4 linked regions of the Stegostoma tigrinum genome follow. The protein of the gene in region 2 purifies or fractionates together with the protein of the main gene of each other region. This does not show direct contact. Links are inferred from orthologs where the notes say so. Each region holds a gene or a part of one and is shown on either strand. Other genes may lie near its edges. The genes, in order: dhx30, eif2ak2, zinc finger protein 346-like and adar.

The links.
Region 1: the proteins of eif2ak2 (region 2) and dhx30 purify together in Homo sapiens (affinity purification with mass spectrometry; 3 studies listed by BioGRID and IntAct, with this or other methods). This does not show direct contact. The link is inferred for Stegostoma tigrinum from reciprocal best matches to the Homo sapiens genes EIF2AK2 and DHX30.
Region 3: the proteins of eif2ak2 (region 2) and zinc finger protein 346-like purify together in Homo sapiens (affinity purification with mass spectrometry; 3 studies listed by BioGRID and IntAct, with this or other methods). This does not show direct contact. The link is inferred for Stegostoma tigrinum from reciprocal best matches to the Homo sapiens genes EIF2AK2 and ZNF346.
Region 4: the proteins of eif2ak2 (region 2) and adar purify together in Homo sapiens (affinity purification with mass spectrometry; 3 studies listed by BioGRID and IntAct, with this or other methods). This does not show direct contact. The link is inferred for Stegostoma tigrinum from reciprocal best matches to the Homo sapiens genes EIF2AK2 and ADAR.

Annotation. Positions count from the first base shown.
Region 1 is NC_081358.1:94,688,873-94,696,123, reverse strand, and holds the start of dhx30 (ATP-dependent RNA helicase DHX30), read right to left. Parts: upstream 3,029-7,251; 5' UTR 3,020-3,028; coding exon 2,755-3,019; intron 1,264-2,754; coding exon 1,136-1,263; intron 1-1,135.
Region 2 is NC_081357.1:95,093,105-95,100,123, reverse strand, and holds the start of eif2ak2 (interferon-induced, double-stranded RNA-activated protein kinase), read right to left. Parts: upstream 3,033-7,019; 5' UTR 2,779-3,032; intron 1-2,778.
Region 3 is NC_081366.1:78,746,846-78,754,755, forward strand, and holds the start of zinc finger protein 346-like, read left to right. Parts: upstream 1-4,885; 5' UTR 4,886-4,952; coding exon 4,953-5,037; intron 5,038-7,910.
Region 4 is NC_081400.1:2,174,211-2,181,364, reverse strand, and holds the start of adar (double-stranded RNA-specific adenosine deaminase), read right to left. Parts: upstream 3,031-7,154; 5' UTR 2,826-3,030; intron 2,727-2,825; exon of another isoform or gene 2,634-2,726; intron 1-2,633. UniProt on the Homo sapiens protein: Catalyzes the hydrolytic deamination of adenosine to inosine in double-stranded RNA (dsRNA) referred to as A-to-I RNA editing.

The sequences.
Region 1 (7,251 bases), on a different chromosome or scaffold from region 2:
GTGGACAAACAGGACTGGTCAACTTGTCCTCAACTTCATTTCAAAGTACATAAACAATTGTCAGTATTGGTTAGAGGCTTCTATTAGAATGTTGTCCATTCACAGATGTTGGTGTGTTCTCCGAGCTGGGAAGTTTGATAGCAGACATTTTGTCCCCTTATTAGGTGACATTCTCAGTGCTGTGGAGCCTTCTTCACAAAAAGTCTGCTATCAAACCTCCCAAATCAGCGAACACATCTACAACCAGCACTCAAGCTGCAAATCTTCACTCAAACCCTGAACATTGTCCATTCAACCAGCATTATAATCTATCCAGCAATCTAAGGAAGGGGATGAAGAGAGGTGATGCACCAATAGTAGAGCACCCTGAAGAAATGAATACCACACCTATCATTCAATCCTCAGTTTGAAACCTGCCATCTGAGAATGATGAAAGAGTTCTCTTGGGAGAATGGAGAAACTAGATTCAATATTAATTTCTAAAGGAAAATGAACACATACTGGAAGAATACTTTTCAGGGTTATGGTGAAAAGAACAAGAGGTGGGATTAATTCAAAATTCTGCAAGAGTTGACTTGGGCACACTTCAAAGATTCCAACAGATTCTTTGTAGATCGTGTCGTGAAAGAATCAAGTCTGTCTTTCTCTCTTATGTTATTCAGTATCAGAATGTGGCCATCCCACTATCAAGGCAACATTCATTTGCCATCCCAAGCTACTTTGCTTGACCACTTCAAAGTTAAAAGGCAGGCCTGATGGTATTGAACTGCAATCATGCAAGGACTAAACCAGGTGAGGTCAGCAGGTTTTTTTTTGAAGAACATTAAGATGAACCAATTTTAGGGCACTCTGAAAGTTCCGTGGTCACTAATAGCTTTTCAATTCCAGAATTTGTTTAGACTGAATGAAAATTCTAAACCTGCCATAGTGGGATTTGAAATTTCTCTGGAATATTACTGAAGATTTGAAGTTTGCTAATCCAATACTTTCTTGCAGGTGATATGACTACACAACTGGGGGTGTGGAATCAGGGAGCCTACCGAACTGTCCTCTCCACACTGAAGTGTCAAGACCAAACTGGCCAACAGTAATTTAACCAAATTAGATTGAAAAATAAACATTGATAACCACTTACTTTAATGTATCCATCAAATGATTTGTAGACAATGCGATCATTTACATTAGAAGCCTTCAGAGCTCGCTGCATGACCTGAACCAGCAGGTTCTTAGGCTGTGGAAACTCTTGAAGAAGGGCCTGTAAGTCTAAACAAACATTTTCGGTGAATTCAGTATGCCAGCCATCATCACCGAGTTAATGCTTGGAAAACCAATTCTTTGTCTTTTCCCCACAAGATGTCAATTTTCTGCATTGGAGATCACTGGACACCATCATTCAAGGACGATTATGTAAAGTGTGATCACAGATTTTTTTTGTAGACTTCTTCCTTTCTTCGTCATTCCACTCCAATCACAAGACAATCAATTACAATTTGACAGATCACAGTGAAGATTAGTTGGCTCAGCACAGAATGGAGAACAAAGGAAATCAAACATATGTACACAACAGATTTTCAATTCTTGCTTCTATGCACCAAACATTCAGGTCAAGAATTTAATATGGTACACAATACGCACGTCAACTGCAGCCTACCTAGCAAATGTTGAAAGTTTTACATGCATTCCTTGCTTTTATTTTCAATGCCTCAACTTATTGGCTAAAGTGCTAAACTGAACTTGTCCTGCCAACTTCACAAATTTGTACACAAACACATCCATCTCTATTCCTCATTGGCTATATGCCCTTTCCTCATTTCTTTCTACCAAAACAGAACACAGAGCATAGATCAGTACATCGCTGTACAGGTCCTTCCGGCCACGATGTTACGCTGAACTTTTATCCTAAACTTAATATCTATCTAACCTCCACCCTCACCATATACTATCATCCATATGCCTATCTAATAGCCACTTAACTGTCCCTAATGAGACTGACTCCACTACCTGCTCTGGCAATGCATTTCACACCCCTATCACTCTCCAAGTAAAGAACCTACCTCTGAATCTCCCATATCTACCTCCACTCACTTTAAAATTATGCCCCTTCGTAATAGCTACCTCCACCCTAGCAAAACGCCTCTGGCTGTCTACTCTATCTAGACCTTTGATGATTTTATACACCTCTTATCAAGTCACCTCTCATCCTTCGTCGTTCTAAAGAGAAAAGCCCTAGCACTCTCAACCGTTCCTCGTTAAGACCTTCCCTCTATTTCAGGCAACATCTTAGTAAATCTCCTCTGCAGCTTTTTCAACGCCTTCACATCTTTCCTGTAATGAGGTGACCAGAACCGGACACAATACTCCAGATGTGGCCGAACCAGGGTGCTGTACGGCTGGAGCATAACTTCATGGCCTTTGAACTCGAGTCCTCTATTAATGAAAGCTAACACACCATACACCTTCTTAACAACTCTATCCAACTAGGTGGCAGATCTCAGAGAACTGTGGTCACGAACCCCCCAAAAATGAATCACTTTAATCTCTTTTTCAGCAAACTACTGAATTTAGTTGAATATTTGTGCGCAACTGCATTTTGTTTCTATATCCCAATACTTGATGGGTAGTTTTGAGTATTTATATTTTTGTCGTTGGTCTTTCAATACACTGTGTAAGTACTTTGTAACATGCGTGTGCTTATATACACAACAAATACTGCAAGGTTGAAGTGTGTCCCCCGGAGGAGTCAGTAGCCCGCACCTTGCTGACCGCTCGCTCCAGTTGGCAGCGGCGGCTCCGACATTCCCTCCTCTCCCCGCGGCGTGACCTGCTGCTGCCGCCGACTCGTCGTGTGCCTGAACCGGCTCATGGCCGCTGTCATCCATATGGGGCCGCACTCCCACTCCGAGTGCCAAGCCAGAGGCGCCGGCGGTCCCCGGGCTCCGGTGCTGGGCTGCCTTCGCGGGCACAACCTCCTCAACAAGAAACACAGCAGCCGCGACATCCCACCTGCGTACACCGCCATCTTGGAAACACGGGCTGGTTCCTCAGGCCGGCTCCAGAACTTCGCGGAGAGACCGGAACAATGCGCAAGATGGACCGTTTACAAAAAAAAGTCAGGAACTCCGACAATGAGCCCAGCGCTGCCTCTGGCGGCAGAATCGAGTACTAGGCGATGGTTAATGCGGTAGGATTGTGAGAGCTCTTGAAAGTTCTCTACTGCTCTTAATAGGGTGGTGTGCACTCTATTTGCTGCAGTAACAATTGTTCTGTCAATGGAAGGAGTGTCAGTCGAATAAGTAGTTTGAATCCTTCCATCACTTCAAAGTACAAAAGTAATTTTGCAGAATTCTTAGAGCACGGAAGGAAACCACTCGGTTCACTGTATCCGTGAGGTCTCACCCAGTGCAATCATCTTGCCTTCTCCCTGTAATCCTGTCCGTTGCTCCTTTTCAAGTTCCCTTTTTGGAACAAGCAAGAACAGACTTTGCAGACGCTTGATGCCTTTCTAAACTAAAAACCTTTTGCCTCTACACTGTCCGTATCCCTCTGTTCTCAGCCTATTCACTGTTTTCTGAAGAAGGGTCTGGACCCGAAACGTCAGCTCTCCTCTGATACTGCTTGGCCGGCTATGTTCATCCAGCTCTCCACCTTGATATCCCACATATTTGTCAAGATGCTTCTTAAACGTTGCTACTGTATCCGCCTCCACCACCTCCTGGAACAGCACATTCCAGTCACTTATCACCATCTGTGTCAACAAAAACCTGCCTCTATCATCTCCTTTAAGCTTATTGCCTGGTACCTTAAACCTGTGCTCCCTAATAATTGACATTCCTACCCTAGGAATAAAACTCTGACCAGTCTCTCCATGCCTCACATAATTTTGTAAACTTCCAAAAGGTTGCAACTCATCCTTCGACATTCAAGTGAAAACAAATCAAGTTTGTCCAATCTCTCCTTATAGCAAATATCCTCCAAAGCAGGCAACATCCTGGAAGATTGTTTCTGTATGCTTTGCAAAGCTTCCACATCCTTCCGTCATGTAGTGAACAGAACTGACCACAATATTCCAAATGTGCCCTAACAGATTGAGGAGTGACCTTTATAGAGGCTTGTAAATTAATTGGGAATAGATAAAATGAATAGTGAAGGTCTTTTTCCTAGCAGAGGGGACTTTTAAACTACAGAGCATAAATTTAAGTTGAGAGGAGGAAGATTTAAAATGGACCTGAGGAGCAACCTTTTCACACAGACAGTGGTTCGTATACATAACCTCGTGGCTCTTAACCTCAATTCCCCTGCCAACAAAAGTAAACACGCCATATGCCTTCATTATAACCCTACAATGGTGAAGGAGACAGAGGATCAGTCAGCCCAGTTCCCAAAGAACATGACCTCATTCTTGCCTTGATTTACCTTGACTCCCAAGGCCAGTTCAAACTGGTTGCAGATTTTCATGATTCTGTGCGCAGTGGACCCAAGCAGAAAACAATGATGTAATTCATGTACAGGGCAGTTTTGACCTGTAGGCCTCTGCTGCCTGGAAAATCACCCCTCTCGCACACTTCCTGATGGAATTGGCAAAAGCTTCTATACAGCGCACAAAGAAAGCAGGAGAGAGTGGACAGCCTTTCCAGACTCCAGGTCTGATCAGGAAGCTTTCTGATTCTCACCCATTGACTGAAACTACACTACAGAGCTTGGTGCAGACCAGTTGGATCCAATTTCATATTCGCTGTCCAAAACCTGTTTTAGGGAGCATGTCCCACATGTTGGTGTGTGATGTCCTGTCAAAGGCCTTCCCCTGGTCCAGGCTGATGAGGAAGGCACCCACTGCCCTTCTTTGCACATAGGTGATCATACTTATGAGGAGCACGTGACTCCCAGAGGTGGTCCTTCCTGGTACAGCACAGGTTTGATCAGGGTGAATCACCGAACCCAGAGCAGACTTGACCCAGTTGGCAATGACCTTAGACAGGATCTTGTAATCCATATTCAATGATTGGCAATTTCTAATTTCTTCCCTGTCCCCTGTCCACTTGTCGATGAGGGTGATGATACCTTTCCTCTTAAATTCACATATTCTCCCTGCCAGAATCATACTATTGTACATCTCCACTGGGTGCTGGCCTATCAAGTCCTTCAAGCTGAATACAACTTAGCTGGTAAGCCATCCCTTCTAGGAGTTTTACTTTTTTCGAAGGACTCAAGGGCCTTGGTTAGCTCTTGAACAGTTCTAGCAGATTGGGCTGTGGCAAATGTAACATTGCTGTTTAAAGAAAAAGGCTGTATGGAGAAAATTGTATTTGACAAACAACCTGGAATTTTTTGCAGACATTAGTCTCAGAATAGGTGAAGAAGAACCAGTGTGCTGGTGTACTGGATTTTCAGAAGGCTTTCGATAAAGTCCCAAGTATGAGTTTACTGTGCAAGATCAAAGCACATTAGTTTGGTTGTAATATACTTGCATGGATTAACAGTTGATTAGCAGACAGGAAACAAAATGTACTGGTCCTGTTTAATGCCACTCCCAACATCATCCTTACAGTTCAGGGGTTTATATCCAACCACCACTAATGATTTTGCCCTTTGGTGTTTCTCAGCTCTAATGACACAGATTCTGTATCATCGAGCTACTATGCTTCCTCACTATTGCATTAATTTTCTCTTTAACCAACAATGCAACATTACTGATTTTTCCTTTTCATCTATCCTTCCTCATTACTGAACACCTCTGGATATTCACTTCCCATTCCTTGTCACACTGCAGCCATGTCTCCATAATTCTGATTAAATCATACTTGTTTTTATTCATTTGCGTGATTGATTCATTCAATTTATTGTAAATGTTCCACACATTGAAACACAAAGCATTATAATTGGCCTTTTTTATTATTACTTGTCCCATTTCCATTATTTTTAAATATGCCCCTATTTGATTGTGGCCCATGATTTCTTGCCTATCACTTTTCTTATTCCCCATTCTGTTTGTTGTCCTTGTCCTTGATTCTCCCTCCTCTGATTCCTCGCTCATGCTATTTTAGTTTAAAGCCTCCCCAACAACTCTTGCAAATAGTCCCCCAAGGACATCAGTCCCGGTCCTTGTTTTATATATTCATGATATATTCTTATAAACTATTAAGGTCACTATTTATTGCTCATCTCAAATTGCCCTTGAGAAGGTAGTGGAAAACCTAAAAACCAAAAGAATTGTGGATGCTTTAATCAGAAACAAAAACAGAAGTTGCTGGAAGAGGATTTGGCATCCTCATGCATAAATCGCAAAACACTAGCATACAATGTCAGTGTGTAATAAGGATAGTAAATGGAATGTTGGTCTTTATTTTAAACGGAATGGAGGACAAAAATCGGGAAGTCTTGTTAAAACTACGTGTGACACTATTTCAATGACACTTATAATATTACGAATAGTTTTTGTTCCCCTTACCTAAGGAATGATATATTGGCTTTGGAGTCAGTCACTAGGTCAATTGCGGGTATCTATGGATTTTCTCATGAGAAGGGTTTGAGTAGGTTTGGCTTGTACTTAGGGCTTCGAAGAATGAGGGGTGACCCTAGTGAAACATTCAAGATTTTTAGACACATGACAGTTTAGATATGGAGAGTTATTTTCACTGTCTGAGACGGAAAGGGTATAGTGGATGTAATCTCTGAAGAAGGGGTCACCCAGTTAGGACACAGATAACGAAGAATTCCTTCGCTTCCTGAGAATCTGTAGAATTCTTTCCTACAGAAAGTTGTCAAGGCTAGTTTCTTAAGTATATTCAAAGCTGAGATATGCAAAAGTTAATCAAGAAGGGAAACAAGGAGTATGCAGTAAAGGCAGGAAAGTGGAGTTGAGAATTATCAGATCAGCCATGATCTTGTTGAATGGCAGAGCAGTCTTGGTGGTTCAAATAGCTGACATCCACTCATACATCTTACCTTATGGTCCACATCTCTCAATTTTAATCTGGCATCTGTGGTACTTGTTATGAACATTTTGCTTCATCTACCTTTTCCTATCGATTCAAAAATTTAAACCCTCTTGATCATTTCAGCCCATAATCTATTGTTCTGAATGCCTAAAGTCTCAATTTTTCATATCCTGGATGAGGCTCCACAGATTGCTTGGCCCTCCCTTCAACCACCTATTCACTCATTACATTTTGGTGTATCGGTAGACTATTTGGCTATGGAGGGCACCAGACCCAGCCTTGTTCTATCCCCATTTCAAAATAAGTGGACTTCGTA
Region 2 (7,019 bases):
TAAAAACAGTTATTATATGCTACTATTATGAAGTAATACTATAACTGATATTTTCCATTAATAGGATTGCAATCAAGACAGGAACATGGTTTTCCATACAGATGCTTGTGCTGCTTTCTTCATGACACACAAATGAGTAATGCAGTTATGTGAATTTCAGTGCCGGTGTAATGCTAACATATCTGGGCCCCATATCCCAATGACTGTTGAGTTGTATTAAACATCACATTCCCTTGCAGTAGGCAGAGTACTGGACATGCTCAACTCACAAAATGTTTGTAAAACACAGAATGTAATGTTCCAATGATACATATAAATCCCTGTTTTGATATCTGTTACTGAACAATCCTGAGTGTGACAACAATTATGCAAAAACCAATTTAAGATGCTCCATTGGGCTCACAATCTGCCAATCAGTATTTCTTTCATATGTGATGTCATTTAGTGCTCCCCACCATTAAACTTTGGAATTCTTGTGTCTGTTCTGATGACTGCGAGACAAAAGGTTTTGACAGACTGTCTCTTTCTCACCAACCAAGAATTGTCATTACAAAGAAGTGAAGTATTAATATCAGACTTCCTTGTGACTTCCACAGGAAATGAAACTAGGAGTCATGTACAACAGGCAGCAGATCCAATATTGCCCACTGCAAATTTTCATCCAAATCTAAATCATCTCCCTTACATAGATGGCAACAGGCAATTGTAAACTGGATGCACCACTTTTCCAAACACTTCTTATAAAACTCATTACAGCTGTTAGGAGTCCTGGTAGGAGTATTTGTTTGTGTAAAATACAGGGAAATGTATTTACTAATGCCTTGATTTGGAAAGATAAATCAGTTCTCGTGCAATATTCTTTAAAATTCATTCACGCTACAAGCTAGGCATCCTGCAAAGTATTTTCCTGGCCTGACTTGGCTCTAGGGCAAAGCAAAGGCTAAACATGGATTTTAAACCCAGAGTTAAATTTATTCCAAAGGCCGAGAGTTCAATCCACATACTGAGAGGTGAGTGTATCTTCGAGGCTGTCACATCCAAGGTGTGCTATCACAGTTCTTATGTTTTCAATCAGACCTTCAAGTGTCTACCTGCTTGAGTGGACATAAAAGATCCTATACACACAATGTAAAGAACGTCATGAAATGCAGTGCAATATCCTGGCCAATATTTCACCCTCAAACTCTCAGAGGGTTGAGAATCTTTGGAACTCCTTGCCACACAGAGTTGTGTGGACGGAGTCCTTATGAAAATTTGAGGCTGAGATAGTTTCTTCATCAGTAGCGGAATCAAGGATTAGAGGGAAAAGACAGGAAAGCAGACATGAGGAAAATTACCCAAGGGGACATTACTCATAATCCCATTGAATGGCACAACAGACTCAACAGATTGAATCATCTACCCCGTTCCAATTTCTTGTGGTCTCATTGTGACATATCAAATTTCAGATAAAAGAAAATATCAGATTTGAAGAGATCTCAAGATTTTTGTTCCCCCTTACTAGTCCCTCTACACCCAAGGAAATGAGTCAGGGAGCTAGGTAGTATTATATGGAACAGGAATGTGGCTGGTTTAGAAGATTAGATAGCAGTTACAAACAATCCTGAGTGTGACAACAATTACGCTAAAAACCAATTTAAGATGATTCATTGGGCTCATAATCTGGCCAGCCAATCAGCACACCCTTTTCATGTGATGTCAATTAATGCTCCCCACCAATAATTGAAACATTGCTGAATGTGCAGAATTCAGACACTCACAAACTAATAAAGGATTTCCCTTCATTACAATCAAATGTTCCAGTTAACACATTGAAACGCCAGGATCATTTTGATAAGAACATGTTTAGTGTAGAAAATATATAGGTTATTTCTACAGATATATTAGATCAATTTCTTTTCCTTCAATTCTCTATTTAAGACTGCAATAAAAAAGCAATAATACAAACAACATAAAACAGCTTAATAAAAGTACTGCAGATGCTGGAAATTTGAAACGAGCAGCAAGTGCTGGAGAAACTCAGCAGATCTGTCAGTATCTGTATAGAGAGAGAGGAAAGCAGAGCAAATAGTTGAGTCCAATGACCCTTCAGATTATGATCCTTCTGACAAAGGGTCACTGGATTTGAAACTTTAACTCTGCTTCTGTCTGCACAGGGGGCTCTCTGAGCTAGACTTGCGGCAGAGGGATGAGGATACTCTTCAACAGGGCCTTAGAAATTTCAAATTATCTTCAGCAACAGGCAATCGAAATGATACAAAGTGATTTAAACGAGACAGAAATTGACAGATTTTTGAGGAAAATGTAAGGAAGATGGGGAAAAGCAGGGATATGAAGTAAACCATGCATACGCTCATGGGATGGTCTGGCCCTGTTCCTATGTAACAGCGATAACATTTACAAAGCTGCAGAAGGCCAAGGGACCGGTAACGGGTTGTGAAAAGATACACATCTCCCAGTTGTTCCAACTAGGAGAGCGGTCCAGCCTCGGGTTAATGTCTCATCTGAGAGACTAACAGTGATGGTGTCAGCCTTAATTCTGTACTCAGTCTCTGAAGGAAAGACTTAAATCCCTAACCTGCGACTCAGAGTCCACTGTAACGGAGGTGACAGTAAAACAATATTCACCATCAAGTAACTAATCGGTAAGAAGATTTTTGAAAGCTGAGTCATACTGCAACCCCTGCCGAACCCACGGTGCGTGCCCCGTAAAGCTTCGGCCGGTGTGTGTAATATAACATTATTCTGTAATGCGTTCAGAGCCCCAGGAAAACTCACCGTCAGCGCTCACAGCAGCAATCTCTTGACTCTCGCAGTGGAGACCGTGAACGCAAATTGTCTCTTCCTTCAGTCGGAAAGAGAGTTTCGTTTCTCGGCCTCCGCTCCTTTTACTTTCGCTTTCCTGCAGCGTTACTGAGAGAGGCCTTTAAGGATCAGAGCTGGAACCACTGCGTGGCTCACATTGCAAACACGGAGCGGAATGAAGGGGGATGGATGCAAGGGAGGGTGTAGATTTAGAGTGGGTGTTTAATGAAAGGAGCGTGTTTTAATACAGTATGAGTTTTTGGGGAAGAGGCATTGGAATTCATCTGGCTGAACTTGTTTGAAGGAAGTGTCAGACACAATGCCAAACTTATAGGGAGTGGCTTTTCCCAGCGGACTACCAGTCAGGGTGTCAAAAATCATCACCTCCACCACTTCTTTTCTGTGGGGAAAAGCTGCTTCCTGGATAGTGTTCACTGGCAAGGAACTTGATCTGCTATCCCATGAAGTGCACACCCTCCTTTATTGGAGGCCATGCAGTTTTTATTTCAAGGTCGTTGTGGCATCCTCTACATTGGGGAAACCAAGCGGAGGCTTGGGGACCGCTTTGCAGAACACCTCTGCTCGGTTCGCAATAAACAACTGCACCTCCCAGTCGCAAAGTATTTCAACTCCCCCTCCCATTCCTCAGACGACATGTCCATCCTGGGCCTCCTGCAGTGCCATAATCATGCTACACGAAGTTGCAGGAAAAGCAACTCATATTCTGCTTGGGAACCCTGCAGCCCAATGGTATTAATGTTGACTTCACAAGCTTCAGAATCTCCCCTCCACCGACCGCAACCCTAACCTGTCCGTCCTGCCACCTCAAACCCCATCCCCATCTCCTACCCACTAATCTAACCCCGCCCCCTTCACCTGTCCGTTCTCCCTGGACTGACCTATCCCCTTCCTAACTCCCCACCTACACTCATTTTTACTGGCTCCATCCCTGCCTCTTTGACTTGTCTGTCTCCTCTCCACCTATATTCTCCTTTATCCATCTTGTATCTGCCTCCCTGTCTCTCCCTATTTATTTCAGAATCCCCTTCCCCTCACACATTTCTGAAGAAGGGTCAAGGCCCAAACTGTCAGCTTTCCTGCTCCTCTGATGATGCTTGGCCTGCTGTGTTAGAACATAGAACATAGAACGTTACAGCACAGTACAGGCCCTTCAGCCCTCGATGTTGTGCCAACCTGTCATACCGATCTGAAGCCCATCCAACCCACACTATTCCATGTACGTCCATATGCTTGTCCAATCATGACTTAAATGTTCTTAAAGTTGGCGAATCTACTACCGTTGCAGAAAAAGCGTTCCATTCCCTTACTACTCTCTGAGTGAAAAAACTACCTCTGACATCTGTCCTATATCTTTCACCCCTCAATTTAAAGCTATGCCCCCTTGTGCTCGCCGTCACCATCCTAGGAAAAAGGCTCTCCCTATCCACCCTATCTAACCCTCTGATTATTTTATATGTCTCAATTAAGTCACCTCTCAACCTTCTTCTCTCTAATGAAAACAGCCTCAAGTCCCTCAGCCTTTCCTCGTAAGACCTTCTCTCCATACCAGGCAACATCCTCGTAAATCTCCTCTGCACCCTTTCCAAAGCTTCCACATCGTTCTTATAATGCGGTGACCAGAACTGTATGCAATACTCCATGTGCGGCCGCACCAGAGTTTTGTACAGCTGCAGCATAACCTCTTGGTTCCGGAACTCGATCCCTCTATTAATAAAAACTAAAACACTGTATGCCTTCTTAACAACCCTGTCAACTTTCAAGGATCTGTGTACATGGACACCGAGATCTCTCTGCTCATCTACACTACTAAGAATCTTACCATTAGCCCAGTACTTTGCATTCCGGTTACTCCTACCAAAGTGCATCACCTCACACTTGTCTGCATTAAACTCCATTTGCCACCTCTCAGCCCAGCTCTGCAGCTTATCTATGTCTCTCTGCAACCTACAGCATCCTTCGTCGCTATCCACAACTCCACCGATCTTAGTGTTGTCTGCAAATTTACTAACCCATCCTTCTACGCCCTCATCCAGGTCATTTATAAAAATGACAAACAGCAGTGGGCCCAACACTGACCCTTGCGGTACACCACTAGTAACTGTTCATCCAGCTCTACACCTTGTTATCTCATATTTCAAGGTCTCTTTGGTTCCATGTGTGCCCCTTTCCAAAGGATGGAATCCCAACTACATGCCACTAATTTTCTCTTCAGCTGACACCTCCTGTCAGGAAGAGTATTGATGAAGGTGTTGGTCCACTTTATGACAACGGGTAAGTTAGATGTGAAGGATTAGCGACACAAGAAGCATCATCACTGACCCATTGCAAATTGATACCCACCAGCTGACAAAGATCTTTGAAATGCCACCTTGAGAAACAAAGGGAGACAGTCGACATAGACTAATGAATGGACTCTCTAACTTAAAACAATGCTGGTCTTGTTTTATGTTGAACTTGCTTATCACACAGCCTTTGCAGTGTAACCTGTATACCTTCCTCTGTCAAAGTTTCTTTTTCACCCTATAATCTGTATGCCCTTGCTTACTATGATCAGCCTGTACTGCTCACAAACAAAGCTTTTCACTGTACTTAGGTACATGTGACAATACATCAAATCAAAACAGTGTGGTCATGTGTAGATCATTGGGTATTGGGTAGTAGCAAATATAATATTATTATCATAGTAATTTACTGTTACATGTATTTATGAAAAATACTGCCAAAACATGCCTAAGTCATCATAATTAATCTGGCACCATTTTAATTACATAAATTATAAAAAAGAAATAATACATACTAAGTCAAGACAAATTTCATGTTTTTGTTCCAACAATGGCTTCTTGAATTCACAAGTGACTACCTGATGTGCCTTACTCTGCAGGTGTCAAAACTGTCCATGAGGCTGCAACACCAAGGAGGAAGCACACTGAAGTAACCCCCTGCTGACCCAACACCATCTCTGCCAAAGGTACCTGATCATCACTGATACTCCAGCTGCCGCCATAGCCAGGAGACTGTCCCAACTTTCACAGACTGCTGTCCATTCTCAGCTTCCAAGGACCGACACACCATCCAAATGAACTCCCCAGGATCAAAGGATCATTCACTCTGCCGCAATTGCAGATGCTGCCAAAACACCAAAGGAAAAGAACCGGCCCCAACCCATCAACGCTGGAACAGTTGCTGAAACAATTACTACCATGGCCACGAGGAATGGACTGGATCCACCACTCAACAGCTCCCTGCAACCTCTCTCTAAATACACCCCCACAGAAAGAAGAAAAAGTGAATTTGATTCAAAAGTTAAATGAAGAAAAAAGGATGTAATCGGTCATATGAGAGGGAGTGGATGGGCCGGGAGACTGAATACCTCCTACCTTGATGTCTCTGCAATCTCAAAAGAGTGGGAATTTCTTCACATTGCTAGTTTGTCCATTATCAACAACTTCTCAATATCTCTGGAATCTTTTTCTAAAATGAGTGTGTATATGAGACACGATCAGGGCTGATAACGGCAATGTGTTTGCATTGGTGAGATGTTTACAAATACAGAGTGAACATTCAAGACTATTCAGCTTGCTTTCAGTTATAAGAATTGATTTTAGTTTTTTTTTGCTTACGGGAAACAACCTAGCTTCTAAAGCCATCTGAGATAAAGAATTCCACATATTCACTACACTCAGAATAAATTCCCCCATACCTGTTTCTTGAATGTTTAACCTCTTGCTTGGAGATTATGCCTTCTAGAACTAGAGTCTTCCACAAGAGGAAATGAACCTTTCCACATGTACAATGTTGTCCAGTCCCATAAGAATCACGTATGTTTCAAAAAGGTCACCTCTCATTCTTCTATATTTTAACAAATACAGGCCGAACCTATCCAACCTCTACTCGTAAGACAGTTTTTTCATTCCCAGAATCAGTCTAGTGAACCTTCTCTGATGGCTTCTAGTATCAGTATAGCTTTCCTTAGATAAAGGGAACCAAAAACAGCTTGCAGTATTCCAGGGGAAAATCACAGTGGCTCGGTGGTTGGCACTGCTACCTCACAATGCCAGAGTCTTGAGCTCAATCCAGCCTCAGGCGACTGTGTAGCGGTTACAAGTTTTTTCCTCATGTCTGTGTGGGTTTCCTCGCACAATCCAAAGGTGTGCAGGTGAGCTGGGATGGCCATGGGAAGTGCAGGCATTTGG
Region 3 (7,910 bases), on a different chromosome or scaffold from region 2:
GATAGGTGTAGGGAATGGTGGATGACTAGAGAAATTAAGGTTTTGGTCAAGAAAAAAGAAGCATATGTTAGATACAGACAGGAGGGTTCAAATGAATCCCTAGAAGAGTTTAAAGAGTATACTTCAGAGAGAAATCAGAAGGGCAAAAAGGAGACATGAGATAGCTTTCTTTGCCAAAGCCAAGGAGTAACCAAAGAGATTGTGCAAATACATTAAGGACAAAAGGGTAACAAGGGAGAGAATACAGGCCCCTTAAAGATCAGCAAGGTGGGTGGTAGAGATGCTAAATGAGTCTTTTGCATCAGTGTTTACTGTGAAGAAGTGTATGAAGATAGGGAATGTGGGGAATTAAATAGCGATAGCTTAAAAAATGTACATGTTACAGAGGAGGTCGTGCTGGGTGTACTAAGATGCATAAAGGTGGATACATCCCCAGGACCTGATCAGGTGTACCCTAGAACTGTGTCAGAAGCTAGGGAAGTGATTGCTGTGCCCCTTGCTGAGATATTTGTATCATTGATAATCATAACTGAGGTGCAAGAAGACTGAAGGTTGGCTAACGTGATGCTGTTATTTAAGAAAGGTGATTAAGGAAAAGCCTGACACTGGTGATGAGCAAGTTGCTGGAGGGAATCCTGAGGGATAGGATCTACATGTATTTGGAAAGGTAAGGACTGATTAGGGAGAGCCAACATGGTTTTATGTTTGGGAAATCATATCTGACTAACTTGACTGAGTTTTTTGAAGAAGTAACAAAGAGGATGGATGAGGACAGAGCAGTGGACGTGACTTATATGAACGTCAGTAAGGCATTTGACAAGGTTCCTGTTGGCAGACTTGTTCGCAAGGCGAGATCACATGGAATACCAATGACATGAAAAATTGGTAGAGTAGAGTAGCATAACAACAAAGAAGGTTACATCAGAGTACAATGGGACCTTGATCAGATGGGCCAATGGAGTTTAATTCAGATAAATATATGTTGTTACGTTTTGAAAAGGCAAATCAAGGCAGGACTAATACACTTAATGATGACGTCCTGGGGAATGTTGCTGAACAAACAGACCTTGGAATGCAGGTTCATCATTCCTTGAAAGGAGATTCAAAGGTAAACAGGATATTGAAGGTTTTGGTATGCTTGCCTTTATTGGTCAATTCATTGAGTATAGGGGTTGGGAGGTCATGTGTGGCTATACAGGACACTGGTTAAGCCACTTTTGGAATACTGCGTGCTATTCTGGTCTCCCTGGTATAGGAAGGATGTTGTGAAACTTGGAAGGATTCAGAAAAGATTTACAAGGATGTTGCCAGGGTTGGAGGGTTTGAGCTATAGGGAGAGGCTGAATAGGCTGGGGCTATCTTCCCCTGGAGTATTGGACGCTGAGAGGTGACCTTATAGCAGTTTATAAAATTACAAGGGGCATGAATAGGGTGAACAGTCAAGGTCTTTTCCCCAGTGTGGGGAAGTCCAAAACTAGAGGGCATAGGTTTAAGGTGAGAAGCGAAAGATTTAGAAGTGACACAAGAGGCAACATTTTCTTACAGAGAGTGGTTTGTGTATGAAATGAGCTGCCAGAGAAAGTGGTGGAGGCTGGTATAATTACAACATTTAAATGTAATCAGGATGAGGACATGGATAGGAAGGGTTTAGAGGGATATGGACCAAATGCTAGCAAATGGGACTAGATTAATTTAGGATACCTGGTCGGCATGGATGAGTGGACTGAAGGGTCTGTTTCCACGTTGTGCAGCTCTGAGTCTACAAGTAGGCCATTCAGCCTTTCGATGCCACTTCTTCATTCTACATGGCCATTGCTGATTATCCAATTCAGTGCCCTCATCCCACCTTCTCCCCATATCCTTTGATCCCTTTAGCCTGAAAAACAATCTCTAACTCCTTGAAAACACCTCAGTCCTAAATGGCCTACCTCTTGTCTTTAGACTATAACCTCTGGTCTTGGACTCCCTGGTCATCAGAACGCCCTTTCTGCATTTCCCCTATCTAATCTTGTCTGAATGGCCTTCAGCTTTTCAAAAGCTGTTTCAAAAGCTGACAACTGCGCTGAAACTTGAGATAAACTTTCGGTAAAAATCACATATTCCAAGAACCTCATAAGTTCCCATTTTGTTGTGGGAATCTGAAACTGCACTACTGCTTGTGTTATGACATAGAGATAGGTAGCTGAATCGAATCCACCTTTGTATTCACAACACAGTAACATTAAACCATCTAAATCACTCTGCTGGTTCACAACCAGGTTTTTGAACAAGCAATTCCAAACTTTGAAATTAATTAATTTTCTCAACACCAGTTCTGTAATTTAAACAAAAGATTTAACATTTTATTGAAAACAAAATTTATATTAGAAAAGAGAAAATAAAACATGGTGTGGTTATCAATATTAGTGCTTTAAACCCAAAACATTTGTTTCCAGCCCCCATTCACATGAACAATGGATAACAAACACAGTTAAGGGATAAATAAGCTAAAAAAAAGTGGCCAGATTACTCAATTGACTCATGATGCATTATCTCACAGGCATAAATGTGACTCTTTAGCTGTTTTTCTGAAACATCGATCAGGGTCATTTTCTCAGTTCACTCAGGCAAAAGCCACAATAATTCCAACTCAGCTTTCTACTCTTTAGGCAGGGAGCTTTCAAATCTTCACACTGTCTCAGCAGCATCCCTGGACCATCTCCCAGAAAACAGAGCTAAACAGAACACTGATTCTGGTTCTACCCTGATACTCTGAATGACTCCTCTTGAGGCCTCAATTACCATTAAACAACTGCCAATCTGCTTGAACATAGGCTTTCTTTCAGACTTGCCAGAACCAATTCCCAAGTACTGATCTCGTCGATAGCCAATTTCAGCTATCTGTGTAAACAAATGCTCTTTCTAGGGTTTGCTGCATCTGTTAGAACCTTTTTGAATCAAGTTTCAGCCTACAATTAGCCTCTTGGCCGGGCCTGTTTTCATAAACAAACAAAGCTTGTTTAGAGTCATAAAGTCATTGTGATGTACAACATGGAAACAGACACTTCGGTCCAACTCATTCATACCACCAGAGAACCTAAATAAATTAAGTCCCATTTGCCAGCACATGTACGCATGCAGAAACCTTTTAAATGTTATAATTCTAAGGCCCCTACAGCTCAGTCCATACCTGTGTCATCCTCTGAATGAAAAAAAATGCCTCTCAAGTCCCTTTTGAGTCTTTCCGCTCTCACCTTAAACCTATGCTGCCTAGTTTTGGGGTCCCCTAAGATGGGTGAAAGACCTTGGCTATTCGCTCTATCCTCGACCCTCATAGTCATTGCATTATCTTTTTGGTATTTAATGCAGATCCTCATGGAGCTATTTGGCTTGGCCGCAAGTACAACTGCAGGCCTTGTCTGGCTGTTACTAGATACTATCAGTTGGTGCTCCACCAGTCAAGCAAGAAACAAGAACAGGCCACTCAGCCCTTTGAGTCTACTCCAGCCTTCAATAAGATCGTCATTCATGTGATTTTAACTTCAAGTTTATATTCCTGCATATGATTTTTCATCTTCTTGGTAATCAAGAATCTATCACCTTTGTCTTAAAAATAGTTGCAAGATTCTGCCTCCACTGTCTTTTGAGGAATGGAATTCCAAACACTCCAAGAGAAATGTGTTCCTCTGTCTTAAATAAATGAACCCCTACTTTTAACCTATGACCCCTAGTTTTACATTTTCCCACAAGAGGAAACATCCTATACACATCTACCTGATCGAGTTCCTTCAGGATCTTAAATGTTTCTATTAAGTCATTTCTGACTCTTCTAAATGCCTGCCGAGCCTTCCTCATAAGGCAATCCCCTCATTCCCGGTATTAATCTAGTGAATGCCCTCTGAACTGCTTTCATCACATTGACATCCTTTTGCTGGTACCATGACTAGTGACGCAGTCTCATCAATGCCTTGTAAAATTGAAGTATAACCTCCCTATTCTTGCTTTCAATTACCCTCACATTACAACATTACATTCTGTTATGTTTCCAAATTACTTGCTGTACCTGCATACTAACCTTCATGCATCAGGATACTCAGAGTCTCTTAACATCTCAGAGCTCTGTAAAATCTTACCATTTAGAAAATATGCTTTTTATTTTTTTCCCCCACTTTGCCACATTACATCTTATTTGCCGGACCTTAGACCACTCACTTACCCCACCTAATTAGTTTTGTAGGCTGTTTATGTCCTCTTAACACACTTTCCTACCTACTTTCTGTCATCAGCAAAATTAGCTACACGTCCCTTTGTCCAAACTTTAATTTAAATATTCTATTCCTAGACATACTCAGATATTAGCAAATAGTTATAGACAACATCAAACTGGATTCTATTAGAGTTGATATTGTGCTTTTCAATCGTTTATAATTAGAAAAAAAACTGCCAAAGTTTAAACACATTTCCCCAGATTCGCTGAGCAACTTTCCAACTTGTTTCACTGTCTCAGTCAAGGGAATTAATACCTCAGCTGCTTGTGGTGAAGGTGTTTTCCCATCCAACCACTCGGCTACGTTATTACACACACATTTGCAACAGGTGGGGCATTAACACGGGTCTCCTGTCTCCGATGCAGGGACACTACCGGCAGCTCCAGCCGAGCTCGGACCGTTCCTGCCGCGGGGCAGCTCCGAGCGCGTCCACGCTGCCGCACGCGCGGCGCCGGCCCGTTGCCGCGGCAACGCCGTCCGCTGACGTCGGCGCGGCCACGAACTTTCTGGAAAGCGGCGGGCGATGTCTCGCGCGGCTCGGCTGTGTTGACGCGAGATCTGCTGAGGGCAGGGGGCTGGCTCGGTGTGTGCCTGTGCTGGGGGGGGCAAGGGGGCAAGTCCGGGGTTTAGAGAGAGGGAGGGAGGGAGGAGGGGGGTTGAGGGTTTATTTTAAAACTAAGAGAAAAGCTGGGGACTCCGGCAGCGATGGCGGCGGAGAGACCGATCCCTCAGCTGATGGAAAGCTTCAAACCAGCCGGTGCCGGCGACACCTCGACTGGCAACGGGGCTGGTAAGCGCCGCCCAGCCATGAGCACCGTGCATTATGGGGGAGGGGGGAGGCAGCGTCGTGCATTCGGTTAAAAGGGGGGAGGGGGGTAAATAGCAAAGATTCCTCGCTGTGGCCGAGAGCTTCGTGCATCGGTACCTCCCCGTACACAGCATGATTCTCCCCACCCCCTCGCCCCCCCCTCCCCCCACCCCCCTCGCCCCCCCCTCCCCCCACCCCCTCGCCCCCCCCCCACCCCCTCGCCCCCCCCCCTCCCCTCGCCCCCCCTCCCCTCGCCCCCCCCCCTCCCCTCGCCCCCCCCTCCCCCCTCGCCCCCCCCTCCCCCCTCCCCCCCCCCCTCCCCCCTCCCCCCCCTCCCCTCGCCCCCCCCTCCCCTCGCCCCCCACTCCCCCCTCCCCTCGCCTCGCCCTCCCCTCGCCCCCCCGCCCCTCGCCCCCTCGCCCCCCCGCCCCTCCCCTCGCCCCCTCCCCTCGCCCCCCTCCCCTCGCCCCCCTCCCCTCGCCCCCCTCCCCTCGCCCCCCCTCCCCTCGCCCCCCCCTCCCCCCCTCCCCCCTCCCCTCCCCCCCTCCCCCCCCCTCGCCCCCTCTCTCCCCCCCTCTCCCCTCTCCCCCCCCTCGCCCTACCCCCCCCTCGCCCTCCCCCCCCTCGCCCTCCCCCCCCTCGCCCTCCCCCCCCCCTCGCCCTCCCCCCCCCCTCGCCCTCCCCCCCTCGCCCTCCCCCCCTCCCCCTCCCCCCCTCCCCCCCCTCGCCCTCCCCCCCCTCCCTCTCCCCCCCCTCCCTCCCCCCCCCTCCCTCTCCCCCCCCTCCCTCTCCCCCCCTCCCTCTCCCCCCCTCCCTCTCCCCCCCTCCCTCTCCCCCCCTCCCTCTCCCCCCCCTCCCTCTCCCCCCCCTCCCTCTCCCCCCCCCTCCCTCTCCCCCCCCCCCCTCTCCCCCCCCCCTCTCCCCCCCCCCCTCTCCCCTCTCCCTCTTCCCCTCTCCCCCTCTCCCTCTCCCCCTCTCCCCCTTCTCCCTCTCCCCCCCTCCCTCTCCCCCCCTCCCTCTCCCCCCCTCCCTCTCCCCCCCTCCCTCTCCCCCCCTCCCTCTCCCCCCCTCCCTCTCCCCCCTCCCTCTCCCCCCTCCCTCTCCCCCCCTCCCTCTCCCCCCTCCCTCTCCCCCCTCCCTCTCCCCCCCTCCCTCTTCCCCCTCTCCCTCTTCCCCCTCTCCCCCCTCCCTCTTCCCCCTCTCCCCCCTCCCTCTTCCCCCTCTCCCCCCCTCCCTCTTCCCCCTCTCCCCCCCTCCCTCTTCCCCCTCTCCCCCCCTCCCTCTTCCCCCTCTCCCCCCCTCCCTCTTCCCCCTCTCCCCCCCTCCCTCTTCCCCCTCTCCCCCCCTCCCTCTTCCCCCTCTCCCCCCCCCCTCCCCCCCCTTCCCCCTCCCCCCCTTCCCCCTCCCCCCCTTCCCCCTCCCCCCCTTCCCCCTCCCCCCCTTCCCCCTCCCCCCCTTCCCCCTCCCCCCGTTCCCCCTCCCCCCCTTCCCCCTCCCCCCCTTCCCCCCCTTCCCCCTCCCCCCCTTCCCCCCCTTCCCCCTCCCCCCGTTCCCCCCCTTCCCCCTCCCCCCCTTCCCCCTCCCCCCCTTCCCCCTCCCCCCCTTCCCCCTCCCCCCCTTCCCCCTCCCCCCCTTCCCCCCCTTCCCCCTCCCCCCCTTCCCCCTCCCCCCCTTCCCCCTTCCCCCTCCCCCCCTTCCCCCTCCCCCCCTTCCCCCTCCCCCCCTTCCCCCTCCCCCCCTTCCCCCTCCCCCCCTTCCCCCTCCCCCCCGTCCCCCCCCCCGTCGTCCCCCCCCCGTCGTCCCCCCCCCGTCGTCCCCCCCCCCCCGTCGTCCCCCCCCCCGTCGTCCCCCCCCCCCCGTCGTCCCCCCCCCCGTCGTCCCCCCCCCCCGTCGTCCCCCCCCCCGTCGTCCCCCCCCCCCGTCGTCCCCCCCCCCCGTCGTCCCCCCCCCCCGTCGTCGTCCCCCCCCCCCGTCGTCCCCCCCCCCCGTCGTCCCCCCCCCCCCGTCGTCCCCCCCCCCCCGTCGTCCCCCCCCCCCCGTCGTCCCCCCCCCCCCCCCCCCCCCCGTCGTCCCCCCCCCCGTCGTCGTCCCCCCCCCCCCGTCGTCGTCCCCCCCCCGTCCCCCCCCCCCCCGTCGTCCCCCCCCCCCCCGTCGTCCCCCCCCCCCGTCGTCCCCCCCCCGTCGTCCCCCCTCCCCCTCCCGCCCCCCCCCTCCCCCTCGTCGTCCCGCCCTCCCGCCCCCCCTCCCCCCCGCCCCCCCTCCCCCTCGTCCCCCCCTCCCCCTCGTCCCCCCCCTCCCCCTCGTCCCCCCCTCCCCCTCGTCCCCCCCTCCCCCTCGTCCCCCCCTCCCCCTCGTCCCCCCCTCCCCCCCCTCTCCCCCCCTCTCCCCCCCTCCCCCCCCCTCTCCCCCCCCCCTCGTCCCCCCCCTCCCTGTCCCCCCCTCCCCCTCGTCCCCCCCCTCCCCCTCGTCCCCCCCCTCCCCCTCGTCCCCCCCTCCCCCTCGTCCCCCCCTCCCCCTCGTCCCCCCCCTCCCCCTCGTCCCCCCCCTCCCCCTCGTCCCCCCCCTCCCCCTCGTCCCCCCCCTCCCCCTCGTCCCCCCCCTCCCCCTCGTCCCCCCCCTCCCCCTCGTCCCCCCCCTCCCCCTCGTCCCCCCCCTCCCCCTCGTCCCCCCCCTCCCCCTCGCCTCTCCCCCTCTCCCCCTCTCCCCTTCCTGCCTCCCTCTTCGCTTGCATCGAGCACCTTCCTCTGTTTCTATAAAGAGAAACACACATAAAACTGCGATTGCTGCTGCAAATAATTCAGCAAACACCACCCCCCTCCGCCGACCCCTGCAACTAACATTGAGGTCAGTCGCTT
Region 4 (7,154 bases), on a different chromosome or scaffold from region 2:
CTCATAATGCCATTAGGGAAGGAATTCCAGAATTTTGACTCTGTGACACTGAAGGAATACCAATATAATTCCAAGTCAGGGCAGTGAGAGGCTTGGAGGGAAATTTGCAAGCGTTGGTGTTCCCACATATCTGCTGCCTTTATCATTTTAGATACAAGTGGTCACGCATTTGGAAGGTGCTGTCTAAAGGTCTTTAGTGAATTTCTGCAGAGCATATTGCAGATTGTATGCGAGTGATTGAAGGTGGATATGGTGCACAATGCTGCTACTGAGCATCAGTGGTGGATGAACAGGATATCTGTGGATATGGTGCCAATCAAGCAAATTGCTTTGTCCTGGGACAATAAGCTTGACTGTTGTTGGGGCTACACCCATCCAGGCAAGTGGGGAGTATTCCATCACACTCCTAACTTGTACCTTGTAAGTGGTGAACAGGCTCTGGGGAGTCTGGAGATGAGTTAGGCGCTGCAATATTCCTCACCTCTGACCTTGCCAACTCTGATTAGTACAACAGAAGGCAATGACAAAAAGAAGGCTTGAATATATCATAAGCAAACACAGATTGCAGGAGAAACACAACAGGTCTGGAAGTAGGGGCGGTATGATGGCTCAGTGGTTAGCACTGCTGGCCTCAACGCCAGGGAACTGGGTTTGATCTCACCCTCAGGTGAATGTGAATGCCTCCCCACGTCTGGGTGGGTTTCCTCCCACAGTCCAAAGATGTGCAGATTAGGGTTTTGGCCATGGGAAACGCAGAGTTACAGGGATTGAGAAGGGGGGGGGGTTCTGGGTGGGATGCTGTTTGCGGGGGGGGGGGGGGGGGCGGTCGTTGCCTACCTGATGGGCTGAATAGCTTACTTTCACATTATTAGGGAATTCTAAGAGTATCTGTGAAAAGTGACCCAGCGTTTTCCCTCTCCAGCAATTTCTGTTTTTCTTTCGTTTCAGATCTCCAGCACCCGCAATTCTGTTACATTTTACTCGAGTATGTTATGTTTACAGTGAGGAAAAGAAATTATACTCCCGAAGCGCCATGTGGACGGACACGTGAAAGATAAAGCGTTCACCAAAAAAAAACCACCGGTTCCAAAACACGAGGCATAACCACGATGCGGCCGGCTCCACGCTGCCATTTCCTTCCCCCTCCCCACCCCCACCCCCACCTCACGGATATGAATACACACACAGTGTGACCACCACCGCCCCCCAACCAAAATATCACACAATGTGCCCTAGCTCCCAGCCGGCACCTACTGACCCTCCCGGGGACCACCCCGACAATATCGCACAATGTACCTAGAGCACCCCCCCCGCCGCTCCCGGGACCTGCTGATCCTCACTACCGGCAATTCCGCCTCCCATCCCCCCCCGTCCACGATGCACCCACCCCCAGATACCTCAGTGCCGGAGAGGCCCCCCCCGGGCTTCCCGGCACCTATTGACCCTCACTACCCGGTATCTCCCCCCCCCACCCCCACGATATCAATGTACCAACCCCCCCCTCCCGGCACCTATTGACCCTCACTACCCGGTATCTCCCCCCCCACCCCCACGATATCAATGTACCAACCCCCCCCTCCCGGCACCTATTGACCCTCACTACCCGGTATCCCCCCCCCCACCCCCACGATATCAATGTACCAACCCCCCCCTCCCGGCACCTATTGACCCTCACTACCCGGTATCCCACCCCCACCCCCACGATATCAATGTACCAACCCCCCCCTCCCGGCACCTATTGACCCTCACTACCCGGTATCTCCCCCCCCACCCCCACGATATCAATGTACCAACCCCCCCCTCCCGGCACCTATTGACCCTCACTACCCGGTATCCCACCCCCACCCCCACGATATCAATGTACCAACCCCCGCCCCTCCCGGCACCTATTGACCCTCACTACCGGGGATCCCCCCCCACCCCCACACTATCAATGTACCAACCCCCCCCCTCCCGGCACCTATTGACCCTCACTACCGGGGATCCCCCCCCACCCCCACACTATCAATGTACCAACCCCCCCCCCTCCCGACACCTATTGACCCTCACTACCCGGTATCCCACCCCCCACCCCCACAGTATCAATGTACCAACCCCCCCTCCCGGCACCTATTGACCCTCACTACCCGGTATCTCCCCCCCCCACCCCCACAATATCAATGTACCAACCCCCCCCCTCCCGGCACCTATTGACCCTCACTACCCGGTATCTCCCCCCCCACCCCCACACTATCAATGTACCAACCCCCCCCCTCCCGGCACCTATTGACCCTCACTACCCGGTATCTCCCCCCCCACCCCCACAATATCAATGTACCAACCCCCCCTCCCGGCACCTATTGACCCTCACTACCGGGGATCCCTTCTCCCCACAAATATCAACTTAGCCCATTCCCCCCCCCCAAAAAAAATCAACGTACCCCGTTCCGGGCACCTCTTGACCCTGACTCCCGGGGGCACCCCCCCCCCAACCCCAAGCAATGCGCCCACCCCAACCCCTCCTGCTTCGCTCGCGCCGGGCGACCCCGCGTCCCAGTGACGGTTGGCCTCGCGGGCGGGCTGACGGCTCCTGAAGGATGAAACCTCCTCCGTCTCCTCAGGTAAGGCCACCGGTTTGAAACGCGCCTCCTCACCTCCGATCAACCGGCTTTCACAGCGAAGCGGCGACCGCCATCGCGTGCGAGGCGGAGTGTTCGGCGGCGCGGTGACCGACTAACTGACTTGTGTGTCAGTGTCAATGAGCGAGCGTGAGAGACAGAGAGACACAGTGACCGGCTAGGCCTCGGCTTTTTCCCTCCTCCTCTTCCCGCCCTCAAGCTCCTTACCTACGCTCCGCATCGTCGAGGTGGCGCCTCCATTCTGCTCCCGTTTCCTGTTCGTTTATTTTCTCCCCCCCGCTTCAAACGTACAGATTCAAATGTTCGGACATTAGCTTAAATAAAAGACCTTCTCCCTCCCAAATCTCTCATGTACACACCACCTTCTCCTATTGTGTTCTGCCTTCAAATGACAACAACCTCCCCTCCCCCCACTTTCCTTCCTTCTACCCTCCCCGCCTCCGCCGCTCGCTCCTCCCCTCCCCCACCCTCACCCTCCATCACCGCCGGAGGCCGAACCGGAAATTGCATAATGTACCCGTCCGCGTTGAAACTTTCTTGAAAGATGTGCAGCGGCCATCTTTGATCAAGGCAAGGCTGGTCCATACATCGAGGGTGTCTTCGGGGGTTAGGGAAGGGAAGACGCGAGGCGGTATTTACCAAGCTGTAGCTCCCCTCCCCCCCAACCCCAAAAGACGGAAGTTGAGAGACTATAATCTTATAACTGACTTAGAAATATCCAGACTTTATTTGGCGAGCCGAAGGACTGACTGAGACCGTGACGACGATTGGGGCCCTGTTTCTACCTTATTTTGCCGCCGATCCCTCCCGTAACCGCCCAAGTTATTTTTTTGGGGGTGGTGGGGTGGGGGAGAGAAGGTGGAAGGCAACTATCCGATGTCCTCTGCAATACCACGATCGAACCTGCCTCGACCACGCATAAAGGATTTTTCTGATGAAGGGTCTAGGCCCGAAACGTCATTGTGCTCCTATAACGCTGCTTGGCCTGCTGTGTTCATCCAGCCCCACACTTTGTTAAAATTGTGATCAGAGATAATGGGGACTGCAGATGCTGGAGAATCCAAGATGACAAACTGTGAAGCTGGATGAACACAGCAGGCTCTGATGAAGGGTCTAGGCCCGAAATGTCAGCTCCTGAGCTCCTGCTCGGCCTGCTGTGTTCATTCAGCTTCACACTTTGTCATCTCGTATACCACCACCGCATCTACGGCGGTGGGGGGGGGGGGAGGGGTGGGAGTTTCCTCGCCTTGCTTTTGCTTTTGTAAAAGCAAGTACCCTAGTCCTCAGAGATAATAGGAGCTACAGATGCTGGAGAATCAAAGATAGCAAGTTGTAGAACTTGATGAACACAGCAGGCTAAAGCAGCATCAGAGGAGCAGGAAAGCTGACGTTTCGGACCTAGACCCTCAGAAAAGGGTCTAGACCCGTAACGTCAGCTTTCCTGCTGCTTGGCCTGCTGTGTTTGTCCAGCTCTACACCTTGTTACACTAATCCTCAGTCTGTTGCAAATGGGAACAGGTTTTCCCTATCCAGACTTCATGATTTTCAGAACTATCAAATGTCCTCGTAGCTGTCTTTTTCAAGAAAAAAGTAGTGTTCAATTTTACCTCCAGTATTATTTCATACTACTGAGTATGCACCATTGTAAACCCTTTCCAATTCATTCACATCGTTCCTATCATCTGTTACCCACAGCTGTATGCAGTACTCCAAATGGAGGTCTAACCAACAAGTTAAACCAGCTCATAACCCCCTGCCATATGCTGTCCCTACTTAATTATGCACTATTCTGGGTCTTCATAAATAGCTGTCCCCACCCCCATCATATCTTGCTAATTTAGTAATTACTAAATTTACTTACTAATTTTAGTAATTTATAATGTATACCTACACTTAAGTCTGTTCATCTGCTCTAGTACCCTTTATTTTGTACCGTCTTTCATGTTTATTTTAAAATCACCCCCTTCTGTATTAAGGATCATTTACCACCCATTCATCTGGGGTGTTAACATCCTATCGAAGATCTTCTTTCAAGCTTTGTTGCCCCCCCCTGCATAAACACTAATTAGAAAAATAACAATCCTAATGCTGACTCCATGACAAGACTTCTGCAGCTAAAGACATTAACTATTACCTGATTACTGTAACTGATACAAGAGTGGTGAGGGATAGTAAAGAGTTATTTATGGAATCACACAAGATCAATAAATTAAATATTTCTAATTTATGTAACTTTATAAACTGCATTGTTTCAAAAACCCAAAGTGTACAGTGATTAAGATACAGTTTAACAGATTGATGGAAAATATAGATAGGGTAAACAAAATTCCAGACCACAAGGAAGTTTCAATCCTTGTTTGTTTTACAACGATGAGATGCTGTTGTCTAAAGCGATGGTTGTCCATTGATCATGTGACCTTGGGTCTTTTGTATAAAAGACAAAGAATTTGGAAGTCTTGACTTTTACCCTAAAAAGGATGAGGCAAGGGGCAAGAGAGTGTGATGTTATTTTTCAGGCTCGAGTTGCTGTTGGCTCCTACAGATCTTTTGCTAGGGGGAATTTCCTTAAATATTTTGTGCTGTTCAGTCTATAAAAATTTTCCTTCTTACTACTTTCAAAAAAGGAACAATTTGTATTGCACAGCTCAACAAAATGCCACCCTTTTGCAACTTGAAAACACAGCCACAGCAGTTCAGCTTCCATTTCAGTTTGTACACACAAGACAGCAGAAGTGGGCTATTCAGCCTGATGGGTCTGGTCTACCATTCAGTGAATTAGCTAAACAGATAGTGGATTCATTGGTACAGGGCCTGAGTGAGGCTGCACCTAGAATGTTTATTTGCTTTTGGTCTCCTTTTGAGAAAGGATGCTCATGCTCAAGGGAGTTCAAAGGCGAATGTACTATAGTGGTGCTAACAGATGACAAAGAGAGAAGGTAAGTGATGAGAATGAGATTCTGAAGAGGGATAGATACATTAGACAAAGTGAGCAAAAAAGTGCTAGAAGAAAGGAATAGCATGTGAAAATATCAGATTATGCACTGACAGGAAAGGAGGAGTGAATACTTGTTAAATGGAGAAACATTTCTGAAAGCTTCAGAAAGATGTTTGGGGGTGGGGGGGGGTTCCATGTGCATGAATCCCAAAACCTAGCATCCAAGTTCAGTGGGTGATAGGGAAGGCAAGTGGAATGTTGGCCTTTATTGCAAAACGGAATGGAGTGATAAACTAGAGTGGGGGTTTTGCTAAACCTACAAAGGCACAAGTCAAGACCATAGCTCAAATACTGAACAGTTTTGGATCCTTTATCCAAGGAAAGATATGCTAGCATTGGAGACAATCCAGAGAAGATTCACTAGGATGATACCAGGTACAGAAGGACTTTAAATGAAGACAGGTTAAGTAGTTTGGACTTGTACTATTTGGAACACAGAAGAATGACAGGTGACTTTATTGAAGCATTAAAAGATTTAGGAGATTTAACACAGTAAATGCAGAAAGGTCGTTTCCCTTTTAGGGAAGTCTAGGAACAGAGTGAAGGGTTGCACATGTAAAAACAGATAATGAGGAGTGAGCATGCCAACTGGATACAAAATGGCTTAATGGCAAGAGACAGTGGCTGTGGAGGGTTGTTTTTCCAGACTGGAGGTCTGAACAGCCATGCGTCACAGGGATCAATGCTGGGTCTGCTTATGAGACTATAGAAGGTATGGTTATATAGTGAAGAATGTTACTTAAGATTATTATTTAAGATTACAGCAATCTTGTTTGACTGAATGGGCTGAGGAGCAGCAGATGGAGTTTAACTTTGACAAATGCAAGCTATTGTATTTCAGTAAAACAAACAAGAATGGGACTTACAGTTAATGGATAGTCTGAACTGCAGATGCTGGAGTCATAACTTTTTCCTGAAGTGTCTGATCCAAAATGGCAGCTTTCCTGCTTGGCCTGATGTGTTCTTCTAGCTCAATGCTTGTCTTTTAACAATTAACGGTCAGTCTGCAGGAGTATTATAGAATAGAGACCCCTAGGGGTTGAGGTACATAATTCTTTGATATTTGCATTATACATAGGCAGGTGGTTAGGGCAGTGTTTGGCATCCTTATCTTTATTGTTCAGACTGTTAAGTATGGGAATGGGACATAGTGTTGAGCCTGTACAGGATGTTGGTGAGGCCTCTTTTGGAGCACTATGTCCAGTACAGGTTGCCCTGTTATCAAGGTGGAGAGGGTTCAGAAAATATTTAATCAGGATGTCACTGCAATGGAAGGTTTGCATTATAGGGAGATTGGAACATTTTTTCCACTGGAGCAATTTGGAGGGGGTGACCTTAGATGTTCAAGATTGGGAGGGGTCTAGACAAGGTGAATGGCTGATAGCTTTTCCCTAGGGTTGGGGGGAACATTTTTAATGAGATGATGTTTTAAAAATAGGACATGGGGAGTTTTATTTTTAAAATCAGCGGTTCACATGGAATGAACCTAGAGGAAAATGGTCAATATGGGTAAAGTTACTTTATAAACATTGAAATTACAT